Rattus norvegicus: one gene and its partner. The protein of the gene in region 1 interacts with the protein of each later gene in a biochemical or structural test. Links are inferred from orthologs where the notes say so. Each region holds a gene or a part of one and is shown on either strand. Other genes may lie near its edges.

Region 1 (2,723 bases):
TGGGAAGCAGCCAAACCCAGCCCTTGCACCTTGTTTTCCAAGAGGAATGAGAGTCATGAGCCCGCCTAAGCTCGGACTAAGTAGGGTGGGGCATGGGACTTCCCCCACTGGCATGTCTGTTAACTCATTTGGAGCTTGAAGCCCCAGTGAAGGTCAGCAGTACCATTTTGTAGCTGGAGTAGTGGGGACTAAACGTGATGGCTCATGTGTCCTAGTGCCCTGTTCATTCGACAGTGTTCTCAAGCATCCTGCTTGTAGTAGCTTCTCCAACCTAGTGACCCCTATAGCCATTTTCCCCACGACCATACAACTGTCTACCTAAGGGAACCAAGTTTGTAAACCTCAGGATCTTGTGCCTGCCCTGTGGCTCTCAGGCCCAGGTAGTACAAGATGGTTCACATGCCAGCAAGGGCTCCCTCTTAGTGGAGCTCACAGCAGTTCCGTGAGTGGGAGAGGGCTGCCCTGGAGGGGTACTGCAGCATCTTGGTCACCTACTCAGCTGTGTCTTATCCCCAAGAGAGGGTAATTTCGGCTATTGTGGGATACTAGTTCAAGCCCTTGCCACACCCTGGGTTATCTCCTGTCACCTGAACCCCTCTTCTTATGTTTGCAGGAGACCCTGGAGGCTCCAGCAACCGTAGTCACCACTGGAAGCAGCCTGACCAGACCAGATATCAGTTCCAGGAGCTTGCACTCTGGGCCAGAGTTAAGCAAGCCAGGGGTGCTGGTGTCCCAGGTGGACAACGAGCCATTCTCAGCCTGCTCTATGGACCTTGCCATCAGCCCTAGCACCTCCTTGGGCTCAGAACCCAACCATGGTCCAGAGGAGAATGAGTATTCATCCTTTCGAATCCAGGTGGATAAAAGTCCCAGTGTTGATCTGTTAGGAAGCCCTGAGCCACTAGCCACCCAGCAGTCCCCAGAAGAGGAAGAGCCTTGTGCCAGTTCAGTGTCCTGGGCTAAGTGGCTGGGGGCCACCAGTGCACTCTTGGCTGCATTCCTGGCAGTGATGCTCTACCGTAGCAGGCACCTGGCCCAGTGAAGCCTCAGCTGTATGCCACACTCACTTGCTCAGTCCTGCCAAGCATGCCCTCTAGGCTTGGGGTGGTAGATATGGCGAGGTCCACTGAGTTATCCAGGTACAGGTGCTACCTGTACTGAGGCGCCATCACTATGTGGTGGGGGAAGAGACACTGCTTCTATCCTGGTTCATGTCATCTTCTGGTCTTCAGCTTTTGGGGGCCCTGTATCCCTTCCATTGCTTCTGACCTGCCCACAGGGCAGGGTAAGATTGCATGCTATGTGCTCCTAAGGAGGTATCCCCACCAGACTCATCCCTATTGGCCCAAGCCTGAAGATGAGGAGGCATTGCACTGTTGACAGTGCCCCTCCTCTCACCCAGGTCTCCTGAAACACAAGCGTAGAATAGTGATGAGTGGTCCCGTAGCATCCAATGCCTTCCACCAGCAGCCTGGCTGAGGCCTCGGCAGAGTGCCTGGGAGCAGCAGAGCAGCTGGTCTCTTGGGAGCTTTGGGTGCTCTGCCCCTTTGGTCCCTCTCCCCAGCCAGACAGCCCTAAGGGTGGGCCTGGAGGTTCTCTGTGGACTCCAAGAAAGCCAGAAGCAGCTCCCAGGCCTGAGAAAGCCCCTGGGAGCCTTGCTCCAGCCTCCTTATCCCAGCTCTTCACTTCTCCCCTCCTGGTCTCCATTCTCTTTGACCTCCTACACTGGATGATGAGATACCTAGTGGGCAGAGCTCAGGCTGGGCTTGGATCAGTTCCACCCTTTCTCTGCCTTTAGCAGATGTTTAGCTTCTCTAGTCTTCCTCCCAGTGTGGACAGTGGGTAGCACTTCCTTTTACTGGGCTCCTCTGAGTTTGAAGGATAGAGATATTTGCCTAGTGCCTATCCCCGAGGGTGTGAGCACAAGTTCTTGCCGTCCTGCCCAGGCTGGTAGAGCTAAGGTGAGAGCATGAGAGACAGAGTGCACAGTGGTAATAGCACAGTCTTTGAGAGAGCAGCCTTCGCCTCCATCGTGCTTTTGTCTCCTCCCTGGTCAGGTGTAGACCTTACCTCTGTGCCTCACTTTTCTCACCTGTGAGATGGGGTGAATATGCATATATATGCTAATATATTCTAGTTTTATTGGGATTAATTAAAAGAGTTTATCTGTACAAATCTTGTGTGTTCCAAATTTCTTAAAGGTTGGATACATGTTATCACCACCCCACCCTAGACTGTTTCTCTGTGTAGTCCTGGCTGTCCTAGAATTCACTCTGTAGACCAGGCTGGCCACAAACTCAGAGATCCACCTGTTTGTTTCAAGTGCTAGGATTAAGGGCATGGGCCACCACCATCTGACACATCATCACTTTTAAAGAAAAGGTACCTGGTGAGAGATAGGTCTTAGCACATTCTTCCCTTCTCGGTGAGAGATAGGTCTTAGCACATTCTTCCCTTCTCAGTGGGCAGGAAGTCTAGTTATTCCTATAGCAGAAATACAGTTAGGCTTAGGCTGGCTGTGCTCATGCCTTTAATCAGCACTCAGGAGGCAGAGGCAGGCAGATCTCTGAGTGAGTTCAAGACCAGCCTGGTCTACACAGCTCCAGGCCAGCCAGTCTCCAGACAGTGAAATACAATGATGTATATTGAGGCTATCCTCACGGGCTTCCTCAGGGTGCCCTTTGCTGGACAGGGGATAAGCGTGTAGCCACCTCTATCTCTGG
Region 2 (3,916 bases), on another chromosome or scaffold:
TATCCCAGAGGGTTCTGAGCAAACAATCCCTTCGTCCTCTCGTGGAAGATTCTTGAAGCTTGGGACAGACATATGGGGTTAGGTATGAAGGGAGTAGACCACTAGACTCAGGAAGATCTTCTGATCAAAGGCTGGCCCTGGGGGAGTGGAATAGTATCTCACCTGGGTGGAGTTGGGACAGGGGACCCAGCAGTTTCACCGCGCCTAAGGAAGGCAGTCAGAACCTTCAGTGTGTCCTCTTGGAGACCCAACTCTTCAGAGCCGGCCATGGAGGTACCTGAAGCAGAAGACAGAGAATGTACCCAAATGGAGTGATAACTCAAACTTCATTCAATCACTGAATGAAGAGGACACCTTACTCCAAGGAAAAGGTGGCTTAAGGGCCAGTGGGGCAGTTGATTCCGTTGAGGAGAAAGGGCCTGAATTATTGAATCTAAGAAAGGACGTAGGGGTTGGGGATTTAGCTCAGTGGTAGAGCGCTTGCCTAGCAAGCGCAAGGCCCTGGGTTCGGTCCCCAGCTCCGAAAAAAAAGAAAAAAAAAAAGAAAGAAAGAAAGAAAGGACGTAACTGAGTGCTTGGACTCTTACATGCAGGAGCAGGAAGGGAGCCCTGAGTGCTGAAGGAGTCTCGAAGACCCTAGAGAATAGGGAACTACTAATCCTAGTACGCTTTGCGGCAAACGCTAGCCGGGTTTCCCCTCTTTTTCACCGAGCAGCCTGCTGGGAGATGTAGTTCCAATGACCTCTGGCGGGCACCAGGAGACCTCCGTGCTTGGAAGTCAGAGAGACAGGACTGGCTGTGACCTCTCCTGCAACCTAGCTCCCTCCCTGGTACCCCGCTCACCTGGATCGGGGTTCTGCCTCAGTCGTACTGGCGCACACACGCTTTCACTCAATTTCTACAAACTTTACTTCCGAAGTTCAACTTTCCCGCGCCTGCGCACTGGGCCGACACGGTAACCGCCCCAACGTCGAGGGGGCGGAGCGCTGTGTTGCATCATTTGCATATGGCGTTCCCAGCATGCCTGTAGGCGGAAGGCCAAAAAAGGGCATTGAGGGAGTTAGGCCGGTTCAGTCGGAGTGTGCTCCTAGGTTTTCTGACTTTTCTTAAAGTAAATGATGAGAAATTTTTTTTTTATCTCAAAATACCATTAGAAAGGAAAGTCCCAACGCTCGGAAGCTTAGTTGACAAAGAAGGGGGTTGCGTGGCTGCGAGTCTCAACTACTGTTTGGGAGCCCCAAAACCAGTGCTGACACCCGCGCCCCACGAGCGCGCAATTCCTCCCCTGGTAGGTAACGCGGAAGAACCGGGAGGGTGGCGGCCTCAGGGCACAGGAGCTCGGCTACCGAAAACCAGAATGGTTACGCGTTGTAGACGGAAGCCTGCAGTCTCAGCATCCAGACTGGAGGCAGTAAAGATTGCTGCAAGTTCGAGGCCAGTGAGCTCCAGGCCAGGCTGAACCACAGAATGAGCTCCAAACCAGCATGGGTTAAGCGAGTTGAAGACCAGCCTGAGCTACTGAATAAGTTTGAGGGTAGCTTGGGTTACAGAGTGCATTCGAGGCCAGCCTGGGCCACACAGTGAGTTGAAGACCAATCATGGCTACATAGCAAGTTCGAGGACAGCCTATGCTCCATACTAAGACCCTGTCTCAAAACATCCATAAAAACAATGTAGAAAAGACAAAGCAGAAGAAGCGACAGCAGCTGGGAGAAGACTCTGGAAATGAGTAAGGGTTTTCTGCAAGGGTGAGGTGGGTGTGAGAACAGTCATGATTCTTTAAAGACAGGGAAAGAGGACTCCACCCTGGAAATGGGGTACTTGCTTTGAGTAATAGGGGTTTACATTTAGAAAAGGGAAAGAACCTATGGAAAACTGTGGGGTAGGATAGGCGGTCCCGTTGGAATTGGAAAGGTGGGAAGGAGTTTCCCGTTTGTACACAGGAAAACAGGGTGAAGGAAGGCCTGTGCTGTATCGGGTCGGAGAGGTTTGAGTGCATTTGCCCCTTGACATACAGGCTCAGGAACTGCACTGTATGCGCAGGCTGGATCATGGGAACCCCGAAACCGCTGATTTTGCCTTGGCTGGTGTCTCAGCTGGACCTGGGACAGCTGAAAGGTGTGGCCTGGCTGGACGAGAGCCGTACAAAGTTCAGGATCCCATGGAAGCATGGCTTACGACAGGACGCACAGATGGCTGACTTTGGCATCTTCCAGGTGCTGGGGGGGAGGGGGCGGGGGGGGGCGTTGAGACTTCAGAGGCATTTATGGGCGTGACTAGACAGGGCTGGGTCTTGCTAATTAGGTGGGATAGACTTGGAGGGACAGCCCGGAATTGATTGGCAGATTCCAGGAATAGAATTCTGAAAGCCAGGTTGTGTCTCTAAAAAACTGTTCTGGAGCAATGGTTCTCAATCTGTGGGACGCAACCCCTTTGGGGGTTGAACGGGCCTTTCATTGGAAAACAGATATTCACATTAAGATTTATAACAGCTGGGGTTGGGATTTAGCTCAGTGGTAGAGCGCTTGCCTAGCAGGAGCAAGGCCCTAGCAAGGCCCTGGGTTCGGTCCCCAGCTCCGGAAAAAAAAAAAAAAAAAAAAGATTTATAACAGCAAAATTACAGTTTTGAAGTAGCAATGAAAAAAATTTGGGGCTGGGGACTCACTACATCATGAGGATCTGTATTCGGATAGTTGAGAACAGCTCTTTTATTAGAGGATGGGAAATCTCGGGGGGGGGGTGGGCTCTTGATTTTAGATCCCTTAAATCTTAAGAATTGGAACAGCCCTCAGGATGGGGTTATTAGCTACCAGATCAGCATGGTAGTAACAGAATGTGGGGTGAGGTACCAAGTAGGTCCTAGAATACTGGCTTAAAAAACAAAAGGCTTGGGTTGGAGAGATGGCTCAGCGGTTGGGAGCACTGACTGCTCTTCCAGAGGTCCTGAGTTCAGATCCCAGCAACCACATGGTGTCTCACAACCATCTGTAATGAGATCTGATGCCCTTTTCTGGCACATCTGAGGACAGCTACGTGTACTCGTCTATAATAAATAAACCTAAAAAAAAAAAACAAACCAAAATCAAAAGGCTTGAAGGTGGATGTGTGGCATACGTTTGTAATCCCAGCACTCTGGAAGTGGCAGCTAGAGGGTCGAAACTTGGAGCCTACCTTTGTTATAATGTGTGAGACCCTGTCTCATATTCAAAAATATTTTTCTAAAGTGTGGAAAATATAGATAAGGATGAGGTCGGGACAGAAGTCCTAGGGGCTCTATGAATGTGAGAACTTAGGTCAGGAACCAGAAATGTATGGAATATGGTGGGAGGTGTCTAAGTAGTCTTCCCTACTGTCCTGGAATCACTGATGTATCAGGCCTGGGCGGAAGCCAGTGGTGCCTACACCCCAGGGAAGGATAAGCCAGACCTGTCAACCTGGAAGAGGAATTTCCGGTCAGCCCTGAACCGGAAAGAAGTGTTGCGATTAGCTGAGGACCGGAGCAAGGACCCTTTTGACCCTCATAAAGTGTATGAGTTTGTGACTCCAGGTGTGTGTAACAAGGCTGGCTTGGGGGTCACAGGAACCGTGGGGTCTGGAAGATCTCTGCCACTTACTCTGCTCACTTCCACTCTGGACAGGAGGAGCAAGGGACTTTGTACATCTGGACACCTCCCCTGACACCAATGGCAAAAGCAGTCTGTCTGATCACCAGGTGAGGAGACACTAGTCTTGTGCCCAGCCTTGCCCCATCCATTAGGCCTCACCTTCTTCCCACCCCAGCCCTTACCCCTGGACCTCCATTCCCACCAATCTGCTACCCTCTGGCTCAGCTGAAGCTGTTGACTAGCTCCTTCCTCCTCCAGGAAGACCTCTTGGAATTACTCGATCACATGGCCTTGGGACCCCTCCCAGATGA

Evidence for each region.
Region 2: the proteins of Mavs (region 1) and Irf3 form a complex in vitro, tested with the Homo sapiens proteins (2 studies listed by BioGRID). The link is inferred for Rattus norvegicus from reciprocal best matches to the Homo sapiens genes MAVS and IRF3.

The regions. Positions count from the first base shown.
Region 1 is NC_086021.1:138,916,955-138,919,677, forward strand, and holds the end of Mavs (mitochondrial antiviral-signaling protein), read left to right. Parts: intron 1-613; coding exon 614-1,042; 3' UTR 1,043-2,171; downstream 2,172-2,723.
Region 2 is NC_086019.1:104,615,422-104,619,337, forward strand, and holds the start of Irf3 (interferon regulatory factor 3), read left to right. Parts: upstream 1-1,186; 5' UTR 1,187-1,288; intron 1,289-1,590; exon of another isoform or gene 1,591-1,628; coding exon of another isoform or gene 1,629-1,729; intron 1,730-1,964; exon of another isoform or gene 1,965-2,017; coding exon of another isoform or gene 2,018-2,051; coding exon 2,052-2,216; intron 2,217-3,375; coding exon 3,376-3,547; intron 3,548-3,638; coding exon 3,639-3,712; intron 3,713-3,863; coding exon 3,864-3,916. Other genes in the region: Bcl2l12 (bcl-2-like protein 12), read right to left, coding at 163-269.